4 linked regions of the Diceros bicornis minor genome follow. The protein of the gene in region 1 interacts with the protein of each later gene in a pairwise test. Links are inferred from orthologs where the notes say so. Each region holds a gene or a part of one and is shown in the gene's direction. Other genes may lie near its edges. The genes, in order: BANP, FOXR1, NEDD9 and PPIC.

Evidence for each region.
Region 2: the proteins of BANP (region 1) and FOXR1 interact in binary tests that used the Homo sapiens proteins (3 or more experiments, as listed by UniProt). The two-hybrid records come from large-scale screens. The link is inferred for Diceros bicornis minor from reciprocal best matches to the Homo sapiens genes BANP and FOXR1.
Region 3: the proteins of BANP (region 1) and NEDD9 interact in binary tests that used the Homo sapiens proteins (3 or more experiments, as listed by UniProt). The two-hybrid records come from large-scale screens. The link is inferred for Diceros bicornis minor from reciprocal best matches to the Homo sapiens genes BANP and NEDD9.
Region 4: the proteins of BANP (region 1) and PPIC interact in binary tests that used the Homo sapiens proteins (3 or more experiments, as listed by UniProt). The two-hybrid records come from large-scale screens. The link is inferred for Diceros bicornis minor from reciprocal best matches to the Homo sapiens genes BANP and PPIC.

Annotation. Positions count from the first base shown.
Region 1 is NC_080771.1:36,394,489-36,402,075, forward strand, and holds the start of BANP (protein BANP), read left to right. Parts: upstream 1-4,582; 5' UTR 4,583-4,659; intron 4,660-5,496; exon of another isoform or gene 5,497-6,359; intron 6,360-7,587. UniProt on the Homo sapiens protein: Controls V(D)J recombination during T-cell development by repressing T-cell receptor (TCR) beta enhancer function. Binds to scaffold/matrix attachment region beta (S/MARbeta), an ATC-rich DNA sequence located upstream of the TCR beta enhancer.
Region 2 is NC_080746.1:18,003,007-18,010,106, reverse strand, and holds the start of FOXR1 (forkhead box protein R1), read left to right. Parts: upstream 1-4,098; 5' UTR 4,099-4,113; coding exon 4,114-4,174; intron 4,175-7,100. UniProt on the Homo sapiens protein: Transcription factor which acts as both an activator and a repressor.
Region 3 is NC_080753.1:55,281,152-55,288,792, forward strand, and holds the start of NEDD9 (enhancer of filamentation 1), read left to right. Parts: upstream 1-4,634; 5' UTR 4,635-4,805; intron 4,806-7,641. UniProt on the Homo sapiens protein: Scaffolding protein which plays a central coordinating role for tyrosine-kinase-based signaling related to cell adhesion. As a focal adhesion protein, plays a role in embryonic fibroblast migration.
Region 4 is NC_080740.1:43,990,649-43,998,036, reverse strand, and holds the start of PPIC (peptidyl-prolyl cis-trans isomerase C), read left to right. Parts: upstream 1-4,373; 5' UTR 4,374-4,442; coding exon 4,443-4,559; intron 4,560-7,388. UniProt on the Homo sapiens protein: PPIase that catalyzes the cis-trans isomerization of proline imidic peptide bonds in oligopeptides and may therefore assist protein folding.

The DNA of each region.
Region 1 (7,587 bases):
TTCAGGTCCTCTGCCCACTTTAAAATCAGGTTGTTTTTTAGCTATTGAGTTGTATGAGTTCTTTATATATTTTGGATATTAACTGATTATCAGATAGATGGTTTGCAAATATTTTCTCCCATTCTTTAGGTTGCCTTTTCATTTTGCTGCACCAAACTTTTTAGCATGATGTAGTCCCACTTTTCTTTTTTTTTTTTTATTTTGTTGCCTGTGATTTTGGTGTCATATCCAAAAAATCATTGCCAAGACCAATATCAAGGAGCTTTTTCCCTCTGTTTTTTTCTAGGAGTTTTATGGTTTCAGGTCTTATATTTAAGTATTTCATCCATTTTGAGTTAATTTTATGTATGGTGTAAGATAGGGGTCAAATTTCCTTCTTTTGCATGTGAATATTCATTCAACAACACCACCATTTACTGAAGAGACTGTCCTTTCCTCATTGTATATTCTTGGTGCCCTTGTCAAAGATTAGATGACCAAATATGTGTGGGTTTATTTCTGGGCTCTGTATTCTGCTCCATTGATCTATATGTCTATTTTTATGCCAACACCATACTGTTTTGATTACTATAGCTTTGTAATATAGCTTGAAGTCAGGGATCATGATGCCTCCAGCTTTGTTCTTTCTCAGGATTGCTTTGGCTATTTGGGGTCTTTTGTGGTTTCACACAAATTTTAGGATTGGTTTTTCTATTTCTGTGGAAAACGACATTGGAATTTTGATAAGGATTGCATTGAGTCTGTAGATGGCTTTGAGTAGTATGGACATTTTAACAATATTAATTCTTCCAATCCATGAGCACGGAACCTCTTTCCATTTATTTGTGTCTTCAGTTTCTTTCATCAGTGTCTTACAATTTTCAGTGTACAGGTCTTTTACCTCCTTCGTAAAGTTTATTCTTAAGTATTTTATTCTTTTGATGCTGTTGTGAATGGGGTTGTCATCTTCATTTCTTTGTCAGACAGTTTGTTGTTAGTGCATAGAAACACAACTGATTTCTGTGTGCTGATTTTGCATCCTGCAACTTTACTGAATTCATTTATTAGTTCTAACGGTTTTTTGGTGGAGTCTTTAGGGTTTTCTATGTACAAGATCATGTCATCTGCAAATAGAGACAATTTAACTTCTTCCTTTCTGATTTAGGTGCCTTTTCTTTTTCTTGCCTCAGTGCTCTGGCTAGGGCTTCCAGTCCTATGTTGAATAGAAGTGGTGAGAGTGGGCATTTTGTCTTGTTCCTGAGCTTGGAGGAAAAGCTTTCAACCTTTCACTGTTGAGTGTGTTGTTAGCTCTGGGCTTGTCATATATGGCCTTTATTACATTGAGGTTTGTTTCTCCTATACCCTGTTTGTTGAGGGTTTTTATCATGTAGGATGTTGAGTTTTGTCAAATGCTTTTCCTTCATCTATTAAGATGACCATATGATTTCTATCCTTCATTTTGTTAATGTGGGGTAGCATATTACAGACAGGTGTGTCTCCTCTGGGTCCCTGAGTGGGCAGGACTGCTCCTGGACCATGGCTAAGAGAGGCTAGAGCCGGTCCCAGGGCCGCTTCAGGGCCCACAGCCAGAACCAAATTCAGCAGGCCTGTTACCAAAGGCATAGGCAGGCCTGATTCCTGCCAGGTCCCTTGGCAGGTGGTGCTGGTGGCAGGACAAAGGCCAAATGGAGCTGCAGTCAAGTCCATGGGAGGATGGGCCTGATTCTGGGTCTGTGACTGAGACCAAGGTCAGCAAGTCAGACACCTGGGTGCAGGCTGACTCACAATGACCCTGCTTGGTCTTGGGCTCCACCAATGTTTCACAGTCTCTACCTGGATCCCAAAGGTCTCTCAAAGGGTCTTCTGTCTGTGGATGGCTACCAAATTATTGTTGCTGAGGTGGGATATGATGGGGGACCTCCTATTCCGCCATGTTGCTGACATCACTTCCTGGTCCTTAAATCTCTTGACTGTCCAGAACATGTGGCCATGGCCTGTCTCAGGTCTGGGTGGAATCCATGGCAGGGGCAGATGGGGCTCTGGTGGGTGCTGGGTGCTGCTTCTTCCCATTTCCCCTGAATTATCCTATGAGCTCTATCCCCAAGACTCCAGTTCACCCCCAAACCTTATCCCATAAGTGCCTCTGTGTGAAGCAGAAAGAGGTGTCCTGGGGTGGGGGAGGAATTACAGAAGAGGCCCCCATGGTGGACCAGCTACAACAGGGCATTGTTCAGGGCAGTCTCCACAGCCATGGGTGGTGGCCAGTGGCCAGTGGTGCCCAGAGTTCCCCATCTCAGGGAATGGTGCTTCGGTCTCTCCAGTTTTACATGTCTGCAGACCCAGGCTGCATCCCTGATGCCCCCTCTCCCTTACTCCCTTACTCCTCAGTATCAGATTCAGGGGCAGGTCCTATTGATTTCACCCCTTGGAATCTCTTGATTCTGTCCACTTCTCTGCATCTCAGTCTCCATTGTGACCACCCTAGTCCAGGCCTCCATCATCTCTTGCCTGGACCCCTGCCATAGCCTCCTCAAATGCTCCCTCCAAATCAGTACCCCTCCTCCCACCCTCAATTCATTTTCCAGCACTCCAGCCTGAGTGACTTTTGAATATGCAAATCTGATCATATACACCCTTGCCCCAAACCTTGTAAAGCCTTTCCATTACTTGAGGATCAAGACAAAATTTGTCCCTTGGCCAATAAGGACCTGCATAGCCCACATCCTAACTACCTTTCCTGTGACATCTCACAACCTTCCTCCTCAAAGCTCTAACACAGCCATAGCTGTGTGACCCTGGGTGTGTAGCTTAACTTCTCTGAACTTCATGTTGTTCACAAAGAATAGGGATCATAATAAGATGTGCCTGGCTTGAGGTGTGGTAACTCAACACATGGTAACGTGATCATTTCCTGAGTCAGACCCTCTGCTAAACCCTTTACAAACTCTGCTTCAATGAATCCTCCCAATATCCCAGGAGCTGTGCGTTGGAGCCAATTTCCCTGCTGGGCAGGAAGGAGCAGGCAAACCCATACCTGAAAGAGAGCTCAGACGAGGACTTTGTGATATTTTGAAATAATGTGAAAAATATCACCCTACATTTATCGGCTTTCTAGTTGGATATTCACGTATTTATGTTAACAATTCTTACATAGTTATGAGTTTAGATTCCTCTGTGATTGAGGCAGAGGTGGGGCTAGAAAGCACGGCTCTCCAGAACTTTTCTCCCCTGGTCCTCTCTCAGGATTTTTGTGGTTAGCTTTTCAATTCTCTTCCCCACTGTGAGCAGACTCTAGACCAAGGTGTTTCTGATTCCAAACCCCACTTCTGTGTGTCCTTGCTGAACAATTTTTGCAATCTCTCTGAGACTGTTCCTCAACTCTAAACAGGACAGATGTCATTTCAATATCAGCATCTTTTCCAGCACTGACTTTCTGTGGTTCTTTGGAATTTCTTTAAGGCACTTTTCCTGCAAAGGAATCCAGCGCCCGGCCTCAGCAGAACCCCTGGTGTTAAATCCTGGAGGACATGCTAACTCAACAAGGTTGCCCCAGGCCGCACAGCTGGTTACTGCCCTGAATCACGTTTTCATTAGTGGGAAAGGGAAGGGGGCAGGAGACTCTGGGAAAAGCGTTTTATTTTTCAAATGAAAACAGCTCCCTCGTTTTGTGTTTGGATGATCATTGTAAATAACTCGGAAAATAGAGGTGAGTACGTATAAAGAAGAAAAATGAAAAGCAATGGTAACGCCAGCACACAGAGATAGAGAAGCAGGAAAGTTTCTGGGAATTGTCTATTTCCAGGTAGGGGAATAGGGATTTTTCCCTACCAGTACCCACAAAGGCGCATTTACGCTATATAAATATAATATAACCACATTCATACTATATTTATATTCATATGTAATATAGCTTATACATTACATATATACATATTATACATAATATATTAATTACATAAAAATGCATAGGCATATAATTTATATATATTGTTTCCACGCGCGTGCACTCGCGACTGTCTGGACAGACGCTGGGGACCCTTGAACACCACCAGTATTTGGGGGAACCCCGCCGGAACCGGAGCACGGGCCGGGCGCAGCTGCCTCGAGCATCTGAACTACAAGTCCCAGTGGCCCAAGGGGCGCGCGCGGGACACGCGACCGGAGTGCGGACAGACTACAAGTACCGGCAAAGCATGGCGCAGAGGCACGGACTACAAGCCCCAGGATGCACTGCTCGCGGTTCGCGCAGGGCCCCCCGGGATATGTAGTCATGGGGGGGGAGCTAATTCCTATTCATTCAGCCTCAAAGAAAATGCAAATTCTTCCAACGGTCCACCGACGCGACTTCTCACGGCCTAGCGAGGAGACCGAGCGCACGATGGGGAAGAAAGAACTCTGCAGGGCCCAAACTGTGGCACGGAAGAAGGACGCGTGCGCATGCTCTGCGGTCGTCGGCGCAGGCGACAGCGACCTCGGGAGGCCACGAGCGGCAAGCCCCGCCCCCTTCCCCGCCCCCGCTCTCGGAGCGCCCCGCCCAGGGAGCCTGCGCAGACGGTGCAGGGCGGAGGGCCGCGGGGAGGGACTCCTGGCGCCTGCGCAGACCCGCGGCTTCTCTCGCGAGGACGGACGCCATTATCGCATCTCCCCGACAAACACCACGAGAATTCCGCAGCCCACACGGTAATTGCAGCTCCCGCAGTCGGTCGCGTCTCCACCTCCCCCTTCCCGCGGGGCGAGAGCGAGAGCGAGATCTCCCCTCCTCCCTCCACCCTGCGCCCTCCTCCGGCCGCCGCGCCCGCCGCCCCCGCCCGGGACACCCTGTCCGGGCCGCGGACGGCCCGCCGCCCCTTCAGCCTCCTCAGGCCCCCGGCCCGCCGCCCGCTCGGCCCCCTCAGCCGTCTCCGCGCCCTCGGGCCCCGGCCTCGCCCCCTCAGCCCCGCCGCCTCCTCAGCTCCTCCGGACCTGACCCCGTCCCCGCCGCCCCCTCAGCGCCCTCGGACCTGTTAGCCCTCCGGGCCCTCCTGCCCGGGTCCTGCCGTCCGCCCTCAGAGCCCTGGTCCCGTCAGTTCCCCGCCGTCCCGCCGGCCCCGTCCGCCCGGCCGGGGGCTTGACCGCCTCGGTCCCGGGCCCTGCGCACTCGCGTTCCCCGAGGAGGGTGGTATCCGCTTCTGTGCATCTCCCCCCACTGCCGTGCGGGCCGTGGACGGGCGGGGGCGGCCCGGCCCTGCGTCCCCCCCGTGGGAGCGGCCCCGCCGGCCCCCGCGCCCGGACGGACGCTCGCGGCTGCCGGACGTGCCGGCCGGGTTGTCACCTGTTTGGGAAAGTGGAAAAACCGAGAAGGCACAGAACGCCCCGCGGTGTCGCGCCCCGTCAGGCGGACTTCCGATCGAGCGCCCGCGGGGCCCGTGAAACGGAGCCCGGGCGTCGGGACGCAGACGCGGAGCCTCTGATGGCGGGGTTCACGAGGGAGAGGGAACGGGGGCAGGCCGGGAGGGGGCGGCTGGGGGCCTCGGTGGAGGCGGCTGTCGCCCCCCTCCCCGCCCCCCCCCAGTATTTTTTGCCGTGTCTGTGATTGCATCTTTTCGAGTTGTGGCCTTAGCTTTTTGCACGGAGGTGCTGTCCTCACAGCCCGTGCCCCGCTGTGCGCACTGAGGACGCCGCCTCGGGGGGCCGGGTCTCCCTGGGGGCCGGGGGCGGGGCGGAGGAGTCACCTCCCCTGAGAACGCGGACCCGGGCCTCCAGCGTAGGGAGCCCGCCCCGAGGCCCGCTCACAGTCCGACGACGGGGACAGGTGATCTCCGCGGGGAGTCGCCCGTCCGCCCGACGGCGCTGCTGCGCAGCCCCGAGGTGACTGGTGACGAGAGCGGACCGTCCTTCTGAGGGGGCAGGGGCACGGAGGTTTGGGAGACGGAGGCTGACGGGGCAGTTGCGTGGTCCTCAGGACGTGCGGGAGGGAGGCGCCCCTCAGAGCGCAGGTGATGTCGTTGACGTTCGGCTTGTGGGCCAGCCCTGGACAAACGTCCGGTGGGGAAACGCCAGAATTGCCCGCACAGTTCGTTCTGTATGTTCAGCTCCTTTCCCCTCTGTCTTGCAATGAGAACAAGAATATGTTCTTGGGATGTTGGACTGTGTCATCGTGGGCTTTAATTTTGAAAAGTCAGCTGCCATTTCTGGGTCGTGTGCTGTGGCCGGGACTGCTGACCCTTTCCGGTGACTCCCGACACGACGACGCGGGGAGGCCGAGACCGCTCCGTCTGACAGAGGAGGCGCTGAGGCCGGGAGGCTAGGGGCCGCCGAGGCCACGGAGCCGCGGTGAGCTGTCTGGAGGCTGTGCGCTTAACAGTGCAGACGTGCGCTTCGTGTTGTCACGTAGCGTCCAGGTGAGGTGTCCATACGGCGAAAGCAGCAGTCCCCTGTGCCGCCTTTCAGTCCCACTCCCCAAAGACTTGTGTTTTTGTTGTTTCTTCAGGAAGGTCTCCAAAGCTCTCAACAATAAGCTGGTGTTTTGTTGATTTTACACATTGTTGACTTTTTGTTACGAAAGGATGCTTTAGCTCTCCTGTCGGATCTCACTCCTCTATACCCTGAATTCACTATGTTCAGTTAACTCAGATGGTTTGTAACTGCAGATATTGTTTGCTTCACAGCCAAGTAATGCATTTCCCTCACACAGCTTGATGTGTTTGCTGTCGTTTGTAATGGCCTTTCTTTTTCTTTGCGTTTTCTGCTCCCATTGACTGCTTATATTGTTTTAAATTCTCAAGGATAGTGTCACATCTCTCCAACTTTCCCCCTCCTCCCCAGCCCTCTGTTCTCTTTTTCCAGTCTGGATTGATTTTTAGGCCAGCACAGGTATTATCCTGATATTTTCTTTTCTTATACATCTGGGTTTGTTCAGGACTCCATGTTTTAATCTTGGCTTCCTTCATCATTTCAATGAGAACCTTCTGCCAAGTAGATGTATTCCTTTTGGGTAACTCTTAAGGATCCTCTTTGGTTTTAGGACATTCCCAGAGTGTCAAAAAATGTGGAATCCCATTCCGAATGCTCTTTGACTCTGGGAAATTCTCTTGTATCATTTATTTGAGAATTTCTTCCACTTTGCTTTTACTCTTCTCAATTTGGGTTCCTGTTTGATGATGGTCATCTTGGATTGACCCCCTGAATCTCTTTGTCTTCTTCCTGTGTCATTTTATTCTCATTTCTGGGAAAGGGCTTCAGTTTATCTTCCAATCTTATTTTAAGTTTTTATTTCCACAATCGAAATTTTAATGTCCAAGAGCTTATTTTTTCTGTTTTTTTTCATAGAAACTTATTGTTTTATGAATACATTCGTTGTCTCCTTGACTCTGAGGATACAAATAAGGGTTTTAGTTCTCTTTTTGTTCTCTGATTTCTTGTTTCCTCTAGTGTCACTGTTGTTTTCTTTTTTAACTTGGTGGCTTCTTGTTTCATATAGCAAGTGCTCCTCAAATATTGGTAATTATTGTCTAAGGCAAGAGGAAGTGGGCAGAAAGCTCCGAGTCTGTGGGGCTCGTCTTGAAAATACGTGGGTTTCCCTTTGGGTGATTGGGAACTTACTACTGTGCTGGGTCCTCAAATGCCAGA
Region 2 (7,100 bases), on another chromosome or scaffold:
TTTTAAAGATCCCCAGGAGATTCCATTGTGCAGCAACATTTGGAGATTATTGACATAAACATCTTTTTAATTGTGGTAAAATAAACATAACATAAAATTTACTTTTAACCATTTTTAAGTGTATGTTCAGTGGCATTAAGTTCATTGACATTGTTGTGCAACCACCACCACTATCCATCTCCAGAACTTTTTCATCATCCCAAACAGAAATTCTGTACCCATTAAACAATAACTCCCTATTCCCCTCACCCGCCTTGGCAACCATCATTCTACTTTCTGTCTCTATGAATTTGGCTATTCTAGGTATCTCATAAAAGTACAATTGTACAAAATTTGTCCTTTTGTGTCTGGCTTATTTCACTTAGCATAATGTTTTTAAGATTCATCCATGGTGTAGCATGTATTAGAATTTCATTCCTTTTTAAGGCTAAATAATATTCCATTGTATGTATAGACCACATTTTGTTTATCCATACACCCACTAATGGACATTTGGATTGTTTCCACTTTTTAGCTATTATGAATAATGCTGCTATGAATGTAGGTGTACAAATCTCTGTTCAAGTCTCTGACTTCAGTTCTTTTGGGTATTTGCCCAGAAGTGGGATGGCTAGGTCATACGGTAATTCTACGTTTAATTTTTTGAGGGGCTGCACCATTTTACATTCCCACCAGCAATGCACGAGGCTTCCAATTTCTCCGCGTCCTAGTCACCACTTGTTACTTTCTTTTTTTTTTTTTTGTGAAGAAGATCAGCCCTGAGATAACAATCTCTTTTTGCTGAGGAAGACCGGCTCTGAGCTAACATCTATTGCCAATCCTACTCCTTTTTTTTTTCCCCCAAAGCCCCAGCAGATAGTTGTATGTCATAGTTGCACATTCTTCTAGTTGCTGTATGTGGGACACGGCCTCAGCATGGCCAGAGATGCAGTGCATCGGTGCGCGCCCGGGATCCGAACCCCGGGCCACCAGTAGTGGAGCGCACGCACTTAACCGCTAAGCCACAGGGCCGGCCCAACACTTGGTACTTTCTGTGTTTTGTTTGTTTGTTTTCATAATAACCATCCCAATGGATATGAAGTGGTATCTCATTGTGGTTTTGATTTGCACTTTTTTTTTTTTTTAAAGATTTTATTTATTTATTTTTCCCCCAACGCCCCAGTAGATAGTTGTCTGTCATAGCTGCACATCCTTCCAGTTGCTGTACGTGGGACGCGGCCTCAGCATGGCCGGAGAAGCGGTACGTCGGTGCAATCCCGGGCTCCAAACCGGGGCCGCCAGCAGCGGAGCGCACGCACTTAACCGCCAAGCCACGGGGCCGGCCCTGATTTGCACTTTAATGATTAATAATGTTGAGCATCTTTTCATGTGCTTATTGGACATTTGTATATCTTCTTTGGAGCAATGTCTATGCAAGTCCTTTGTCCATTTTTAAATTGGGTTGTTTGGTTTTTTTGATGGGTTGTAGGAGTTCTCTATATATTCTGGATGTTAATCCCTTATCAGATACATGATTTATATGATATAAACATTCTTAAATGGTACACTAATTTGAAAGGGGTGGTTGCATTACAGTAACTTTTTTTTTACAAAACAAAAATGAAACACTCATAAGGAAAAAGACTGGAAGGATATACATCAAAATGTAATCAATTATCTCTGGTTAATACAAAGAATGATTTTTTTTATTGTTTTTTCCTCTGTGCTTTCTATACTTTCAAGTTTTCTGCATCAAACATGTATTATTATTATTATTTTGGTGAGGCAGATTGGCTCTGAGCTAATATCTGTTGCCAATCCTCTTCTTTTTGCTGAGGAAGATTAGCCCTGAGCTAATATCTATGCCCATCTTCCTCTATTTTTTATGTGGGACACCGCCACACATGGCTTGATGAGTGGTGCATATGTCCGTACCTGGGATTCGAACCTGTGAATGCCAGGCCACTGAGCATGCTAACTTAACCACTGTGCCCCCAGGGCTGGCCCCAAATGTGTATTATTTTTACAATTAGGGAAATTATCATCAAAATTATTGGTATTAAAGGTAGAGTCCCAGCAAACTTTTAAAAAGGAGGCTGTCGTTTTCAATGTAGTTACAACACTTATCGGGGGTCTCCTATGCACCAAGTATTCTCCAAGTTTCTGGTCTAGTAGATAAGCACCAGGCAACACAGTACAGCGTGGATGGGCTCTAATGGGGAACTCAGGACGCACAAAGGAACCAGAGGGGGCTGCCTCACCCACTGGCCAAATCTGGGACAATTTGAGGATTAAAACAAATAATGATAGTAATGAATTATAATCCACTCTACAAAATAAGAATCCTTTGAGTCCATACTGATAATAAACAAACAAACAAGTATGGGATAAGGAAATGCTCTTCCTCACAATAGAATGCCAACGAAATAAATGGAAAAGTAATGATCAATTTAGAAAAGTCATTTTACTCCCATCATAGTAATGATTGATTCAGGCAAGAATCATAAATAGATGCTAGAATTAGTGGGTCCAAATTTGATGAGGAACAGGATTTCAGATCAAAGTATCTCCCTACAGATTGCTTACTAATTACAAAAGAAAAATAAAGGTAACTTTACAGTAGAGAAACCTGGTGGACACCACTAAACCAAGTGATTGAAGTTAACATCACTAATAATGAGACAAATTGACATCATGTGCCTCTTGAGGCGATGTACTAAGAAGGACTAATAACATCATATCTGTAGTATTTTTGCCAAAAATGCATAATCTAAGTCTAATTATAAGGAAACATCAGACAAATCTAAACTAAAACACATTCTACAAAATAAATGGCCTGTACTCTTCAAAAAATGTTAAATGTTATGAAAGATTACAAAGGCTGAGAAACTCTCCAGATTAAAAGAGATATGAAAATTAAATACACTGCGTTGGCGCCAGCCCAGTGCCCCACAGTGGTTATGTTTGTCAGCTTCAGCAGCCTAGGGTTGGCGGGTTCAGATCCCAGGTGTGGACCAAGATACCACTCATCAAGCCGTGCTGTGGTAGCATCCCACATAGAAAATAGAGGAAGATGGGCACAGATGTTAGCTCAGCGCCAATCTTCCTCAGCAAAAAAGAGGAAGATTGGCAACAAATGTTAGCTCAGGGCCAGTCTTCCTCACACACACACAAAAATAATAAAATATATAACTATGCTGTATGATCCCGAATTGGATCCTAGACCAGAAAACAAATTTATATGAACAACATTATTGGGACAATTGATGAAATCTGAATAGGATCTGTACGTTAAATATAGTATTGAATCAACGTTAAATTTTTTATTTTAATGATTTTCCCATTTCTGATTTTCTGGTTATCTAAGCCAATATCCTTCTTTTTAGGAAATACACACTTAAGTATTTATGGGTAAAGGGACATGATGTCTGCAAACTACTCTCACATAGTTCAGGAAAAAGAATACATGTTTTATACATATGGAGAAAAAAATTAAAATGTGATAAAATGTTAATAATTGGTGTAATTGGTGAATTACAGGATTTAGGTATACAGGAATTCTTTATAGTATCCTTGGGATTTTTCTGTAAATTTGAAATCATTAAAAACAAAATTTAAAAATCACCCTTCAATCGTATCTCCACCATGTACCACCACAGATGCGATCTTAGATAAACGGTAAAATCGATCAGAACTTCTAGAAAGTAGCTATTAATACTCTCAGGGGATCATTCTTAAAAGGTAGACTAATTGACTACCTAAAAGAAGAGCTTTGTGCAAATATAGAGGGGCAAGAGGAGCTGGGATACCCCCTTCCGGACCCCCAAGGTCCCCAGACCTCAAAATGAAAGCGCAGGAAGGGGGTTGAGGAAAGACGTCGTCGTATAGAGTAGTCAGCCGAGGCCAGAGGAGCTTCAAGGCGTCAAATAGGGACTCTCCACACCTGAGCTGCCTCCAACTAAGTCAATCAGACCCGGGTATTTGAGGACGTGCCTCTGAGGCCTCAGCCTCAGTCTCTCCGACTCTCCCACCCCCTGCCGGGCTCTCCTCCCCCTAAAGGTGGACCTGAAACTTCGACACCTCGACTTCTGGGCCAGCCTCCATGGCCAGGTCCCGGGACTGCTGGACTGGGACATGGAGAAAGAGTCCTTTCTGGCCTTCACCACAGCGCACCTGCCCTTAGTGCAGCAGAACCGTGAGTCCCGGGGAAGGAGGGGGGCCGGAGGGGGGGGGGCGTGCCGGCGCGGTGGGGGGTGGGGGAGCTCGCGGGAGCGCCCAGGCCAGTGGGCCCCCCAGCCTTCGACCTCCTCCTTTCCCTGGCTGAGCCTGGTTGGCGGCGTAGAGCTTCGGGGTCCTGCGCCCCCTTTGCTGAGTCCCGGAGCCCCCTCCCCCACCCCCTCCTCGCCGAGTGGCAATTGGGCCGCCGCCTGGACTGCAAGCTCACAGAGGGCAGCGGTCCTGCCCAAACCCAGCGGCCTTCTTCTTGACCCAACCCGCCCAGCTCCGACCCAGAACTTTCTAGGCCTCTTCTCGGCTTTTCCTCCATGGCGCCTGGCGCTGTTTGGCACACTACATATTTTACTCATTTTTAAAAAATTTAGTTATCAATTTTGTTCGAGGCTCTATCCCCACCTGTTAATACATTGCCTGACACCTAGAGGTGCTCAATATTTGCTGACTGAATGGTTGACTTGTGGTCTTTAAAATTTTTTCTTTGGCCCTCAAGTGCAGAGAGCTGAGGTAATCACCTACATTCATGGTACTTCATTGCCATCTGTTTGGCAAGGTACTTGGAGTAACTCATTTTTCCCCTTCCTCCTCCACCCTCACTTCCATCACCTCCCACACGCCCATGTATTTACCCTAATCCATGCAATGTCTTTAGCTAAGTGTATCTTTGAAAACTATTTAGCATTATTTTGTATTCAGAGGTGACCTTAATTTACATAATGCTCAGCTTTTTTCCCCTACTCACATTGTTTTTGAGAGCTATTCTGGTTGCTAAAGGCAGATCTGGTTCATCATTTCTGACTGATGTTTAGTATTCTATCATCTGCATATACTTCCTTTTGCCTTTTAATTCTCCTTACTAATGGAGACCTAGATTGCCTCCTGCTCTTTGCCACCATAAGTAGTGCTGATGCACGTTCCTATATCTTCACTGATTCAAGAAATATTTATTGAGCACCTGCAATTTGCCAGGCACTGTTCTAGACACTCGTGAAGCATAATGAACAAAACTGAAAAGGCTGCGTGGAGCTTGCATTCTACTGGGGGCAGACAGACAACTCACATAAAAAATATGTTATAAGGTGATAACTGAGATAGGAGAAAGAGGAGACAGTAAGAGGTTTCTGGAATGGGTTGGGGGAGGAGGTGGTGGCAGCTATAGTTTTAAGTAGGGTCATCAGGTTGCACTTCACTGGGAACATATATTTGAGCAGAGGGCTGAAGGAGGTGAGATAGTGAGCCAAGAGGATATTTAGGGGAAATGTTTCCCAGGCAGAAGAAATAGCCAGTGCAAAAGCCCTAAGGAAGGAATATGCCTGGAGTGTTTGAGGAACAGTAAAGAGGCCAGTGAGGCTGGATTAAAGTAAATAAAGAGATTAGAGGGTGTGGAGCAGAGATCAGGAAGATCCACTTTAAGGATGTTGGGCTTGACTTTAAGTAAGAAGCAGCATGGTTAAAAGAGTTGGAGCAGAGGAGTGACATGATCTTCAGCGTCATGAGTATGCAGCCTGCTGTACAGTTGCATAGGGTGCCTATACTTGGTTTAATGCTCTACCATCACTGTCTTGAGACTTTTAATAACTTTTGAACAAAGAGCTCCACATTTTCATTTTGCACTGGGCCCTGAAATTTATGGAGCCAATCCTGCATGATCTATATTCTGAAAAGATCACTGTGGCTGCTGTAAATGTAGAGAGACTAGGAGCCTAGAAGCTGAGAGACTAGTTAGGAGGCTGCTTACAATCCAGACAAGAGATGATGGTCCAGTGGACCTCTAGGGTGGTAGCAGAGGATGTAGTGAGAAGGTAGAACTAGCTGGATTTGCTGATGGGTTTGATGTGTGGTGTAAGAAAGAGAAATTAGAGGATGACTTCTCTGAGTTTTTGATCAAGTGGAAGGATGGAGTTGCCTTGTACTGAGATGGGGGAAGCTTCTGGTAGGACAAGTTTAGGGATGAAGATCAGGAATTCTGTTCTGGACATGCTGAGTTTGAGATAGTTTTTAGATATCCAAGTAGACATGTTGAGTAAACAAGTGGATATATAAGTCTGGAGTTCTGGAGTGAGGTGTGGATTGTAGATATAAATTTTGACAGTCTTTGGTATATAGATGGCATTTAAGGAGTGAGAATAGAGAAGACAGAGAAGGACTAAGGATGAGCCCTGGGGGCAGTCCATTGTAAAGAGATTAGAGCGAAGATAGATAAATGGCAAAAACTGAGGAAATGACCATTGAGCATGAAAACTAAGAGAGTGTGTTCTCCTGGAAACCAAATCAAGAAAGTGTTTCAAGGAAGGCGTGGTCAGATGAGAGGAATGCTGCTGAGAAAACCAGTAAGAGGTAGACTGACAATTGGATTCAGCAAAGCAGATGATAGTGGTTTTGGTGGAGTGGTGGAGGCCAAAGCCTGATTGGCAAGGGTTTAAGAGTAGAAGGAGGGGAAGTGGAGACAAAGTATAGACAATTCTTCCAAGAAGTTCTGCCTCAAAGGAAAGCAAAAATATGGAGTAGTGGCCTGGCACAGAAAGTGGGGCAAAAGAAGTTGGTGTTTTTAATAAGATGAGAGAATTAACGAATGCTAATGAGAGTGAACCAATAGAGACAAAATTAATAACACAGGAAAGAGAGGAGAGTATTATTGGAACATTGTCCTTGAGAAGGCAACTGTACCAGAGAGGGAGGGAGGGAGACAGACAGAGGCACTATCCTTTGATCCCACTGAGACCGTCAATCTGTTGATCCTGTCACCCTTTCACTGCTCTCAATCACTGGATGTCCTCTCTTCTTTAACTAACTTGCAATCCCATGGTCAGATATGCTCATGCACTTGCATTCACCATCAATTCCTTTGACCCTCTATAGCTTTGGAGCACTTGCTTGGCCAAACCACA
Region 3 (7,641 bases), on another chromosome or scaffold:
TTTGTATATTTAGGAAACAAATGGGCAAAAGTCAGAAAAAACTGAGGAGTCTAATCTCTTCAACAGTCTAACACAGCAATGTAGTTTTATTTTTTATATTCTCGTGAATAAGATGTTTTCAAATTGCTATTTCATGTGAAACCAGAACAGCAGTTTATACAGTTCCCTCAGAAACCGAGGGTAATATAATGGTTTCAGTCTCATGTTCTGTTTGTGTGCACAGCATACTCCAGTGTGAGACTGCACACATGCACAATTGCAAATTGACAGTGGTTACATATATTTATATAAACATCTAGAAAATGTCCTGGAAGAGTACATCCCAGACAGATAACAGTGATTCACTGTGGGCAAAGCAGGGGAGGGAACTGAAATTAGGGCTAATTGTCAAAAGGCACTTTGGTTTTATCTGCAACTTTAGTTTTTTACAATATAAATTTATTACTTGTAGATTTTAAAAATTAATTTCAAAAAATATGGAGAAACTAACGAGTTTTACGCTAACACTAACGAGATTTACGCAATTATTTTTTGGGAAGTCAAAGATGGTTATCATCCAGTAGAGGGATAGGTGAACAGGATATAAGTAATGGAGAAACCAGTGTTTGGTGCCTGCCAGATGCCCAAATACAACGAATGCTTCCAATAAGTCAGAATCTTCTAAATTCACCCCATCAGTTCTCTCTTAAAAATAATTCAGTTTTTCTTCCCTTTGCTCTTCTAGGTGCCCATGTTTTTTCAAACAGCTGTTCCGTGAGCTAGAAGAATGGTTTCATCATGGCCAATGTCATTTACCTACTAATGATAAACATCAAAAGTGGTAGCTATTACTATTATGATTAACCAAGTGGTAAGTCTTGAAGCTATAATTCAAAGGATTGAAGAACAGGCAGAGAATGAGGAACGGGACAGATGGAAGGGTAAACTTCTGCAGAGACCATGAGGGATGCTGAAAGAGCTCACACCAGCAGCTCTGAACCTAGGCATGGCATGAGGTGAGGGCTGGGCTCAGAGCTTCTGGAGAGTGAGAGAAGTTTGGAAAGACGACGTGACAGATAGTCAGTGGGGGACGAATAAGAAGATTCCTGAGAAGCATGAGGGCCTCAGTTGAGGTTTGAGCGGGAGGAGTTTGCAAGGAAACAAATTTGCCTTTGTTAACTTTCCCCAGTGAGTCTGGGCAGCTCTGGAGCATGAGAAAAAGTAGATTGAGCTTCTGTCTATGGCTGGAAATGGGTGAACACCCGGAGGAACAAGAACAAGGAAATCGACATGTTGCTGAAATAGCTGGTCATGACGTTCTGGCAATGTGAGAGTGCTAGACTCCAGGATTTGGTTGATGGACTGGGAGAACAGAGGAGGTGGAAGACAAAGACGTCCTGTTATGATAGAGAGAAAAGGAGAATTGTAAATGGCAAGAGAGCAGAAGAGGAAGGTGGATGATGTCCATTTTGCCATGCCTACTAGACTGAAATTTCTCCTATGGAAGGAGCTGATTCTCATTCATTTTTCAGTTATCATAGCACAAATTCATAAGTGCTTTTAATATCATGAATGAACCAATTAATGGGAATAGTTATCTCACTAGATTAACTCCCCACCAAGCTAGGAGTTTCTTGAGGGCAAGCCCTGTGTTTCGTGGATTGATGTATCAAAAATGCACCAAAAAGCTCAGAGGAGTTTGCAGGTACACAACAGTTATTGAATGGACAAATGAACTGGATCTTTTTGAGCTCTGATTTCTTCAACTAAAAATGAAAACCTCAAGACTGACTCGCATTCTCCAGCAGGGATGAGGCATACGTTATAACACTAGACAAATTTGCTATTAAAACTTGCCAAACCAACTCTTGAGCATATTCATTTAAATTGCTCAGTGGGCAGCTGATTCCATATGGCTAATACTGTCTTCAGTTGTGGAGGGAAATGAGTCAAGCAAATGGAATCATAAATACACACACACACATATATACACACACACGCAACTTGGCCACGGATTTTTTAACCTTTTTCTTTTCTCAAATTCTCCTCGCTTCTCTCTCTACCACTCCTCAGCCTCCAGCCCATACAACAATCGCTCCTTGGACCAAACATCCATGACAAATTCAAAACAGTTGCCTGGGGTTTGGCTACTGCTTAACAGGTAGTTAGAAACACGCTGCGGTGTTAACGGAGATTCCAGCTAACGAAGATGGCATGAAGAAGTTGATTAAAGCAGCCAAGAAAACTGTTCAAATGAAGATGGAAATGTAGACGCCATCTTCATTGGACAGAGTGATTAGAAATTACGGTTGTTTGTTTTTTGTCAGAACCATCTGTGATTTGTCAAAATTTTGGCACGTGGCATAACCTGCCACTAATCAAAAAGGAGAAAACAAATCAAAAAAAGGTAAGAAAATTTAAGACTGTAAGTAGGAAAACAGACATAGAAAAACCTTCATCTTACCAAGTGGGAAAAATATTTAACTTATTTGTCTAAAACAAGTCTCATCTGTTTTTGGACAAAATCTGAGCTCCTAGTTTGCCTTGACAGGTATGCCTTCTCTATTTGGAAGAAGAACTCAACAGTGGGAGGTCCAGGCAGCTCAGAGTGGGAAAAGAAGCCATGAGGATGGAGACGAAAGAACGGAGTTAAGGATAATCAAGTCACGAAACTTAAGTACTTTATTTAAAAGAAGCCCAGGCTTATTTTTTTATTATTTTTTTTGTGAGGAAGACCAGCCCTGAGCTAACATCCAATGCCAGTCCTCCTCTTTTTTGCTGAGGAAGACTGGCCCTGGGCTAACATCTGTGCCCATCTTCCTCTATCTTATATGGGACGCCGCCACAACATGGCTTAACAAGCGGTGCATCGGTGCACGCCCCGGATCCGAACCGGCGAGCCCCGGGCCGCCACAATGGAGCACACGCACTTAACCGCTGCACCACCGGGCCTGACACCCCAGGTTTTTTTTTTAGTATATCTAGAGTGTCATTGACTTATGGAGACAACTCTATTATTAATCTTTGAGTTATTATATATAACTGTAAAGTATTTTTTCTGAAACTTACACATTTAAATTTATACTGCTTAAATATCTAGTGAAGAAAATAATACCTGATATGGTATACTGAGAAATGCATAGAGGGACATTTTGAAAAAACGTGCATTTGTCTGAACATCTCCCTTACCTCTATTGATTTACGATGAATACTCTGCACTATAAAATAAAAACTTGGAAATAGGATAATTCTACTTCCAATCTGAAACAATTATTGAAATATAGCATGTCCCCAAGAGTGGTGTTTTAAGGAAAGGGGAGAAAAAGAAAAACGACAGAGTACTATGATGATATTTTCACCATGAACATTGCTAATTACACTTATAGATGTGACTATGTGTGATGATTTATACAGATGCTCTTGTTATTGATGTATTTATAAGCCCCAGTTGCACAAGGCATTGAGCCGTGTGTTCGCTTCTTTGTTTAAATGTGGCATCTGCTAAAGGGCCGAGTATTCTTCAATATGATTCAGGCCAGCTCAACATTTAAAAATAAATGACATGGATCTGAATTTCAGAGAAGTGTTATGGGAAATTAAAACAAAACAGCAAAAGTCACGAGAGTGCAACACACAACATGAGCAGAGTGTGAAGACGAGAGGGGGCCAACAACAGTCCTTTCCTTGTCTTGGTGATGGAGCAGAAGCATCAAGCACCACTGGATCATTTGGGGAGTATCACCTATTCAAACTATCTCCCCTCTCTTCAACCCTCTATGTCCCCCAGTCATTTCCTAGGCACGAGGTGAGAAGTGGAGAAAAGAAGGAAAAAAGGAAATGATTGAGCTTATAATAGCATAATTTGCCACTAATAATAATAGCAAACTCTTGTATACTGCTTATTTATTTGTCCCAGGCACTCTCTGGGTGTTTTCATACACTAACTCACTTAATTCTCACAATAATCCTATGGTTATTCCCATTTTACAGATGAGGAAGCTGAGGCACAGAAAGATCAAAAGCATTTATTTGAAAGGTAGAGCCATAATTCACACCTGGGTATTGGCCTCAGAGTATATCCACTTGTTTGCTACTCAAAAGCACAGCTAGAAGAAGACTAGGGCTGTGAGGCTAAGTAACTTTCTAGTTCCCTTCCACATACTCAAATCTGAGCTTCCACACCACATTGTACACAGGAATTTTCCACGTGGGTAGTTACCCCCTAGCAGGGCGCTTGTCACAGTACAGGCTCAATAAATACTTGTCAAATGAAAGAATGTTTCATGTCAATTTACAGTGAAACTCTTTGGAACATATTGAGTCCATAAAACCACAAAATCCTGACTTGGTTGGCCTAAAATAGCCTAAATTTTTGCCTCAATGCAGCCTAGAAAGGAGCTTAAACCACTAAGGAAGTACATTGCACAGAATTTCATTGCAATAATAATGTGCAGATCACCTATCTTTCTCAAATTAGGAAATGGTGCAGAGTAGAACTATATTTCTTACCTGCCCCTAAACTGCAGATATCCGCAGTGTGTCAGGAGGTCTGACAGAGAACACAGAGAGGAAATGAACTGAGACAACATCACTTCAGAGCAACCGGAAGGAAAAACACACACATACCTACGCCTCTCACATTCTACGTGTGGTTGCTCAGTGGGGAAATGCTTACAGCTGCCTTTAGAAGCAAGCCCGGAGACTGCAGCAGGAAAGAAGCCTAATCGTGGGGCAGGACTGAGCTGCCACCTCCTGCCTGCCCACTCGGAGAGAGGGCAAGAACGCCAGGGATACCAGATGATCCACCAACAGTGGTGCTGCCCTGGGTGAGTTCTCAGACACTTGCTGTGGCCTGAGGGGAGGAACAGGGGAGACTCACTCAGACTCGGACTTCCTGAGTTGGTGTCAGACATCTGGTGGTATTCCCCACTGTTAACACCCCTTAACCGAAGCTGGGAGGGACTTAACATGCCCCAAAGGAGGAAGGATGGCTCTAGACCTCATTCAAGTTAACCTGGAGGTACTGGCTTTAAGGCAACTTAAAACCTACCTGATTCTATTTTTTTTTTTTTTTTTTTGTGAGGAAGATCAGCCCTGAGCTAACATCCGTGCTAATCCTCCTCTTTTTGCTGAGGAAGACCGGCTCTGAGCTAACATCTGTTGCCAATCCTCCTCCTTTTTTTTTCCCCCCAAAACCCCAATAGATAGTTGTATGTCATAGTTACACATCCTTCCAGTTGCTGTATGTGGGACGCAGCCTCAGCATGGCCGGAGAAGCGGTGCGTTGATGTGCGCCCGGGATCCGACCCCGGGCCGCCAGTAGCGGAGCACATGCACTTAACCGCTAAGCCAGGGGACTGGCCTCTGATTCTATTTTTAAAATCATCCTGGGTAGTGCTTCCTGGTGTGTAGAGTAGAGGCTCCTCCCCAATTCCTACCATCATCAGAGAGTTCTCCTGTGCTAAGCTGAGCTTTTACTCTCCTCAACTCTTTCAGTACTTTAAAGTGTGGGCTGCCACTCACACTTGATGGTAGATTAGAGTCATTGATAATATCATTTTCAGCCACTCTGGGAATGACTCCTGAGGGGCAAGAAGCAGCGATTGAGAACTGGCTTCAGTGTGTGTCCCAGCTCTGCAGAGAGCTGGTCATTAGCATCATCTCTAAGGGGCTGGGGACAGATTACACTGTGCTCTGCCTGTCCACATTGGGCCACCGCAACAGCTCCATCCTTCCTTTTCTCTATATTTATTAATTCGTTTAACTCATTCATTCATTCAATTGCCTTTTTCCCACAAGGGATTTGAGGCAACTCTTTTATCTTGCTGAAATTACTTCAAAATGAAGAACACATACAACTTGAAAGAGGGAGAGTCATTCTAAAAGGGTTTTCTGTTGTTTAAAGCTGGTGGAGATGGGCGAGCAGGCTTTTCCCTGTGCTGGTGATGAGAGGGGAGAGTGGGTGCCCCAGGCTTTTTAACTCCTGCTTGAGGAGCCTGTCCTTTCCCTTAGTGGGGAAGCTAGTTTCCCATCCAGAAGTGGGTGTGAAGAGCAATTGTCCTTGACAGAACCCTGGGAACCAGCCAAGCGGTTTTCCTCCTTGTTTCTGTTTCCTCCTGAGTTGGGTTATTTTCAAGGACATTCCTGTTCTAAGAACGGGGCAAAGTGGAGCTGTGGAAAGGAAAGAATATGAAATCAGTTTTGAGTTAGAGCTCCACCATTTCTCATTAATTAGTTCATTTATTTAACAACTATCTAGTGAGTATTCACTGCGTGGCAGCCACTTTTAAGTCAAAACTTACATAAGATGGAGCAAAACTGACGTTGCCCTGCCCCCAAAAAGCTTACGGTTGAAGGGAGAGGCAGACGTTAATGATTACATAAATATGATGAGGACCAGAACGTGTCGCGGGGGAACCTGATCTCATCTGGGAGTCAGGGAGGTTTCCATAAGGAAGGCAGATATGAGAACTGAAAGAGGTGTAGGAGTTCACAAGGCAAAGGGAACAGCCTATACCACACCCCGAGGTGGAAGGCCACAGAATTGTCCTGCAAAATTATAGCCAGTATGGCCAGAGGGAAGAGGGGGGTGGCTCAAGGTGAGCCTGAGGGACCAGGTTAAAGATGCTGCTTATTCTAAAAGTGTTGGAGAAGGTAGGGGTGTTGTGAACTGATCTGCATTTTTTTTTTTATTGAGGTAACATTGGTTTATAACATTATATAAATTTCAGATATACATCATTATATTTCAATTTCTGTGTAGACTACGTCATGTTCACCACCCAAAGACTAATTACCGCTGTACACACATGCCCTATTACCCCTTTCATGTTAAGGAATCCCTTTTGATACAATGTGGAGAATGGATGGGAGGAGGCACGCCTACAGACAGGGAGACTAGTTAGGTTGATGAAGTCAGCCAGGCAAGGATGTCTGTGGGAGTACAGACAAGACAAGGGTGGTAGGAGTGGAGATAGAATTAGACAAATTAAAGAGCCATTTAGAAAGGAAAATCAACAGGACTTGGTGGTGGACAGGAAAGGAAAACGAGGGGGAAGTGTCAAAGATGATCCTGTTTCCTGGTTTCGGCATCCAAATGGATATTGATGCTGCTTGCTGGTCACAGAGACTGGAAACGCTGGTGGAGACCAGGCCCAGGGTTAGTTCAGTTCTGGAGCTGATGATTTTGGAAGGCCTAGCAGACATGCAAAGGCAGACATTAGCCAGGCAGTTGTCATTGATCAACATCTGGATAGAGCTCAGAGCAGAGATCTGGGGGATGCTTGTCATATAGATGGTAACTGAAGCCAGGGGTATGGATGATACATACTTGAGAGTATCAAATAAGAAAAGAGGAGGGTGGCTTAGGGTTGAACCTCAAGAAATTCTAACACTTATATATGAAGAGGAGGAGAAGGAGCTCTCCAAGAAGACTAGGATGGCTTCTTGAAAAGTTAAAAATAAAATTACCATATGACCCAGCAATTCTACTCCTAGTTATATATCCAAAAGAATTGAAAACAGGGACTCCAATATGTACATATACGTGCATTTTCATAGCAGTACTATTCACAATAGCCAAAAAGTGGAAACAGCTTAAATGTCCATCAACAGAAGAATGGATAAACAAATTGTGGTATGTGCATACAATGGAATATTATT
Region 4 (7,388 bases), on another chromosome or scaffold:
CACATGGACCGAAAAAGAAAAAAAAAGTGTAAATTAGAAAATATTTTTAGCTGAATGCTGATGAAACAACTACATATCAAAATTTGTGGGAAGCATCAAAAGCTTTGCTTGTCAAGGGGAATTCTATTACTTTAATTTCACATAGAGCAATATAAAAGAAGAAAGGGGAAAAAAATCAATGAATTAAGAGTCTATCTTGAGGAGATAGAAAAATAACAGTAAATTAAACTCAAAGAAAGTAGAAGAAAGAAAATAAAATTAAGAACATAAAGTAATGAAATAAAATCAAATGCATTATATTCACCCGCTTCCTTGGTGAAACCATTCAAGGAAAAAGAAAAAAGAACCAATAATAGGAATGAAAAAGAAGACCTTACTACAGGTCCTCCAGCCCTAAAAAATTATAAAAAGATATATTATGCAACTTTATGTAAGTAAATCTTAAAATACAAATGAAATGGATAAATTCTTCAAAAAATACTACATGTAAAAATTGACAGAAGAATAGAAAATTTGAATGATCCTTCTACTATTTAAAAAATTAAATTTACAATTTAAAACTTTACAAGCCCACATGGCTTCTAACAAACATTCAAGGAAGAAATGATGGCAATCTTACACAAACTCTTTCAGAACATAGGAAAGACATTTACCATTTGCCAACTCATGTTAAAGGACCATAATAACCCTGATATAAAAAGTTACAGGAAATTCCAAGAAAGGAAAATTTCAGGCTAGTCTGACTTCTGAATATAGATGCAAATATCCTGAACATAAGATTAGCAAACTAACCCACTAACATCAAAATGGGATTTTGACAATCAGCTTGGTCTGAACTGGAAAGCGAAAGCCACACTTTACCTACTGTTTTTCCTTGAACATCAAAAGAAATACCTTTTTTTGTTTTTTTGTAAGTTTGTTAAAAGAGAAAATGAGCAAACCATATGCAATAATATATTAAAAGGCCACGTATTACATGTTGGGCGTATTCCAGAATGCAAGGTTGTGTTAAGATTTGCAAATCAATGCAATTTACCACATTAACAGAGTAAGGGAAAAAAATCATCTGATTATTTCAGCTAATTTCAATAGATTATGTGTATCAAATTCATGATAAAAACAAACTAGGACTAGAAAGAAATTTTCTTAAGCTGAAAAAGGATATCCCTTCCCAAAAGAACCTTCAGCAAATATCATTCTTAATGGTGAAATAGTGAAAGCTTTTCCTCTGGGATTGGGACCAAGCAAGTTTATTGGTTTTCTAAGGCTGTAGTAACAAAGTACCACAAGCTGTGTGGCTTAAAATAACAGAAACATATTGTCTCACAGTTCTGGAGGCTAGAAGTCTGAAATCAAGGTGTTAGCAGGGCCATGTTCTCTCTGAAGGCTTTAGGGGAGGGTCCTTCGTTGCCTCTTCCTAGGTTCTGCTGGTTGCCAGCAATCTTTGGTATCCCTTGGCTTATAGATGCATCACTCTCATCTCTGTCTCTGTCTTCGTATGGTATTTTCCTCTGTGTATGTCTTTGTCTCTCTTCTTTTTATAAGGACACCAGTTATATTGCAGTAGGGCACACTCTCCTCCAGTATGACCTTATCTTAACTTATTACATCTGCAAAGACCCTATTTTCAAATAAGGTCACATTGACAGATACTGGGGTTTAGGACTTTAACATATCTTTTGGGAGGACACAATTTAACCCACAAAATAAGAACTCCCACTATTGCCACTTCCTTTTGTACTGAGGGTCCTAGCCAGTGCAATAAGGCAAGAAAAAGAAATGAAAGGTCTAAAGATTAGAAAGGAAGAAATAAAACTGTCATTATTCATGGATGAGATAGTTGTCTACATAGAAAATCCTACATAATTCCCAGATAAATTATTAGAATTAATAAGTTCAACAAAGTTGATCTATTCAAGATTAATACACAAAATTACATTTACAATATAATAGCAACAAATAGGAAAATAAATATTTAAAAAGATAGAATTTACAATAGCATATAAAAAACAAACACCTTGAAATCAATCTAACAAAATATGTTAAGATCTCTAGGCAGACAACTATAAAATTTTACTGAGAGAAATTAAAGAAGACCTAATAAATGGAGGAATATGCCATGTTCATGAATTGGAAAACTCAATATTACAAATATGCCACATCCTTCCAAAATGATCTATAGATGCCATGCAATCCCAATCAAAATCCAGTTTATGAAAACTGATTCTCAAGTTTAGATAGACATGGAAAAGGTCAAGAACAGCCAAGAATCCACTGAACAAAGTGAGAGGACTTGTACTACTAAATATGAAGACTTATCATAAAGCTATTTTCATTAAGACAATGTGATATTGGCACAAAAATAAACAAATATGCCAATGGGACAGAAGAGAGGGCCCACAAACAGACCCATGCATGTATGGACACTTGTTCCATGACAGAAGTAGCATTACAGAGCAGTGAGTAAAGGAGAGACTTTTCAATAGATTGTGCTGGGACAAGTGGATATTCATATTGAAAAAGAAACTGAATTTGACCCCTACCTTGTGCTATGCACCAAAAGAGCTATAGGCAAAAACATGGATGAATTTCACAAATATAAATTCAAGCAAAAGAAAACATGCTATAAGATTCCATTCATATAAAGTTTAAACAAAACTAAATCATAATGTAAGAAGTCAGGATTGTGGTTAACTTGGGGAGAAGAAAGTGTTAGTAATCGGGAGTGGGTACAAGAGGAGTTTCTAGAGAGCTGGCGAACATTTCATTTCTTTGGGGGGGTGGGTCCTAGTTATGTTTGCTTTGTGATAATTCGTTGATCTGTACATTTACCTTTTGTGCACTTTTCTTTATTTGTATCAATCTTCCCAAGAAAAAGATTTTTAAAAAGAAGTTGGACAGACACATTCATTGTTCTTTCATTGAACAAATATTTATTGAGAAATCAGTATGTGCCAGGCATGGTACTAGATCTAGGTCATCAAAAGGAATAAATACAGGCTCTGCTCTGGCTCTGCTCTGGTGGCACGTCACTGATAGCAGAGACAGACAAAAACAATTACAGTAATGAATACAGGTAAATATATGTAGTTACTCAGTGAGATTAGCGCTCTGATACCCTTAGCTGGCTACAAAAGGGGGCCTCTTTCTTTATTGGAGGTGGGGGTGATGAGGAAAGCCTTTAAATCCTTCTTCCCTGGACTAAATTGTCAAAGTAGTTCAGAAGCGTTCTGCCCACCCCTCAAAAGCAGCGGTTACTCCTTTTACATACAATGAACACTTCCAATGTAATTTTAGATCTCCACTTAGTTACACATAGGAATCCTATCTGCTTACCCAAGGGAAATCTTGGCTTGCAAGTCACGGCACCAGCCCCTAAGAAAACCAAGAGAATACTATTATCAATTTGTAGTGAATTTGGAGCTATTACTTTAAAATGAAAAAGTTCTTTTGAAGTCTTAATTCAAAAAGCATTGAGTTTTAGAATAACGTTTTCCTGATTATAAAATACTTACAAGTTCAATGGAGAACATCTGGGAAATCAGAAAATTACAAAGAAAACAAAATTCCATAATTCTATCACCATAGCTACTGTAAATGTTTTGGTGCATTTCTTTCCATTTTTAAAATGCCTTTATATATTTATTTTCACAGTTGAGATCAGAATTTCTAGGGGATTTTGCAACCTGAGTTTTCCATTTAAAAATATAATGAGCCCTTCCCCGCGTCATTAAAGAATCTTCCCAAACAATTATTAAATTTGTAAAAATTATATCTCCAACTTGAATCATCTCAATGAGAGGTCATTCATCATGTGTAATCGAGTCAACCCATTCAGGAGTCGGTCCCAAAGTTCCGAGAGGCGTCCAAAACTTAGCTAAAGTCTCTGACGGAACATTGGAACCTGGCAGGCGCGGCGGAGGCTACTCCAAGGGCAGCTGCGGTTACAGACCCGGACCGTCGGCAGAGTCCCCAGCCCGGCGGCGCGCAAGTTGCCAGGCGGCTCCGGAGCGTCCTCGACTTTCCGTGAGGTTTAACAGGCGCCTACGCGGTAGGTTCCTGGAGATGTCCCCGCGCACCCTCAGCTCTCGGGCTCCGGGCCGAGCCTGCCGCGCCCCGTGTGCGCGCCTCTCCGGGGCGCCGCGCCCCCGCCGCGCGGCCTCGCTCCGGGCCCTGGCGCCCAGCGCACCCGCCGCAGGCGCGGCGGTGGGACCCGGCTACGCCCTCTGCGGCGCGCCTCTCCGAGTCCCTAGTTCGGGTCGCTGGGCTGAACTTGGGAGGAGCGCACCCTGGGTTCCGGCTCTGCCCCGGCCGCCCATCCCCATCCGCATCCCCATCCCCCGCAACCGGGAGCGCGCAGGCGCAGCTGGCCGGGAGTCCCGCCAACAGTCCCGGCGCCTGCGGTCGTGCCCGAGCCGCTGCCACCACTGCCACCGCTCACCATGGACCCGGGTCCCCGGCTGCTGCTACCTCTCATGCTCTGCATGGGGCTCGGCGCGCTCGTGTCTTCTTCGGGGGCCTCGGGAGTTCGCAAGCGAGGCCCCTCGGTGACAGCCAAGGTGACCGAGCGGCGAGCAGCAACTTCCCCTCGTGCCGGCCACGGGGATTGGGGAGCTTTGGGGACTGGGACCTCAGCGTCAGGGGCGGCGAGGAGGGGGCTGGCTTCCCTGGCGCAGAAGGCGGGAGGCGGCGGGGGGCTAGGTGGGAGGGGGTCGCCCGCGCGCGGGGGGCGCGCTCTCGTGGGAGACTTTGGGGGCGCTGGGCGGAGTCCCAGCCCGCCCCCGGCGCCGACTGTTTGAACTTAGCCTCCCGGGTCGGTGGTCCGACGTGTCCAGCCCGGGGGCTGGGAGAAGCTTCCGGAACCGGTGGGTCGTTTCTCCAGGAAGGAGACTGGCCGAGTACTTCCTTCGGCGTGGCGGGGACTTGGGAACAGAAGCAGGAAGAATGTGGGAGGGACGGGGACGGGCGGAGGAGACGCGCTCCGAGCCGCGGGTTTGCAGCCGGCCGGCCCGCCGCGGCTGTCACCCGGCCTGGAAGAGCCCAGGTGCAGCCCCTGCCGCGGGCTGCCCGGGCCGCCGTTCCCCGCCTGGCCCAAACGGGAGGCTGGCCGCCTTCTGCTCTGTGTAGCAACCGTCGTCCTCCCCCGGCAGCGAGAGGGGCGCTTTTAGACTTCCGCGGCTGGTGGGTAGACCCTGGGCTTGGGAAGGTGCTAGCGTGGCACGAGTGTCACCTGTGTGACTGAGGCCAGCCTTTTCATCTCGATTAGGGGAGGAAAAAAATCTGCCATGAACTGTGTCTTTACAGCTTCGGTTCTTTTTTCAGCATATTTACCCAAGGTTAGAAGATAATGGGAGGGTGCAGGGAGAGGAGGAGGAGGGAGGTAGGAAGAGAGGGAGTGATTTGGTGGTGCCTTGATCACCACTTCTAGAAAAACCCACAGGCACTATGCGTCTTGGAATCTGGAAGGAAGGGCAGCTGCAAGTGATCTTAACAAGCAGTCGGGTGTTTGCCAGTGGAAATGATACTGCTGAACTAGTAGAATGTTCAAATCCTCCACCACAGACCCCGCCGAGGAGTGGGAGGACGAGGGGGTCTAGGAGGTTCAGCCCAACGTCTGATGTAGCCTAAGAGTGAGCCAAAAGGCCATGCCATGCTGCGGGGGGGGGGGGGGGGGGGGGAGTGTGAGATAAACTTAGCCTGATTGTTTTAAGCACTGATTCTACTCCCAGCCCTTAATCTTTGGGTCCTATCCAGTTTTGGGAAATGCCTTGTATAAGGCCACAGAGCTGAAGGGGTTGGGGAGGGGGGTTCTTTCAGTCCGCTAATACTATTTGGGTCTCTTGGGATATAGCCGTAAACATAAAATTTATAAAATTATGAAATGATGAAGGAAATAAACCCTAATACAGGTTGGATGACATTTAAAAATACCTGAAGGATAAGCACAAATAGCCTGGCAAAGACTTAGAAGGCAAAGGGAACTGCATGTGCAAAGGCCTGCAGACAGAAAAGCCATCCGTGTGTGCAGAGGATGGAGAAAGGCGACAGTGTGGCTTCAGCCCAGGGATGAGAGGGGAGTGGCTTGAGATGAGGTTGGAGGGCTGAGCAGTAGCAAGATCATGCAGGACCTTAGAGGCCACAGTTATGACTGTGGGTTTGAGGCAATTATTCTTATAATTTGAGGGCTTACTTAGGTGCAGTGAGAGCGGAGGAAGGGTTTTAAGCATGGGATGGCATGATCTCATATATGCTTTTAAACAATTACTGTGGTTGCTCAGTGGAGAGTGAACAGGGAGGTCATCCAGGGCTCCATGTCAGAGTCCAGATGATGGTGGCTTGGATTAGGGTGGTAATGGCAGAAATGGGGAGCAAGGGAGGGACTTGAAAGAGGTTTTTGAAGTATAACTAACAGAACTTGCTGACGGTTTAGATGCGGGTGGGGGAAAGGGAGTAGGATTGCGGGAAGCCCAGTTAGATTTCTCAGTGTGAGTACATGACCTGCAATATTTGGGCACAAGCTTCACCTGGGAAGCTTTTAAACCTCTCCATGCAGAGACCCACCCCAGAGCAAGTCAGTCACAATCTCTGGGGTGTGCCGCCTGGGTTGGGAACCTCTAGAAGAGGGAGCCAAGAGGGGAGGAAGCTGGTGGCTGTAGGAGGGGAAGAGTGGGAGCATCTTAGCCCCTAGTCTAGGGTGCTGTCACTGAGGAAGTTTTCATGTGTCTGCTCTCGGAATTGTCACTTAATGTATCTCCTTTTTTCCCCCACCAAATTTATCATTAAATTCTAAAAGCTAATTGTGTAGGCAAGTCTTCCACAGACTCAACTCTGTTGAATTACTTTTTCAGTGGACTTTTTAAAACAACTAAATGTATTGGAAAATAGAGACATTAAAAAGTATTTCTCTAAGTGTGGAAAAGTAGATTAATTGGCCGTTGCTCTAGTGTATTGTTTTCCCCAGCAGTCTTTTCCTTTTTCTCTGATTTCAATTAAAAATAGCAATCTGTAAATAAGAGAGGTGTGAGGTGCTGTCCCCACACAGGGCCGTTTAATGGCACTCAGTGTGTGGTGAATCCTGCTGCCAGCCACTGTCTCAGCTTCAGGGCTCTAGTTCACAGGTCTCCAAGTCCACCAGATTGGCATTTGCAGCCCTGCATTTTCCAGCAGATGCCATGGGTTCTGTGCAAAGTCAGGCACCCAGAGTATTGAAATTAATGCTTCCATCTTTCCAGCTGCACTCACGTCACAGCTTGCTGGCACTTTCTACAGCATGGAGTGGCCAAGAGGCTATGACCGGGTGACCTTGGGCAAGTTATCTAAGTCTGATGCTCTGTTTCCTCCTCTGTAAATGGAGATAGAAATGATACCTACCTGGGAGAGTTTTGCAT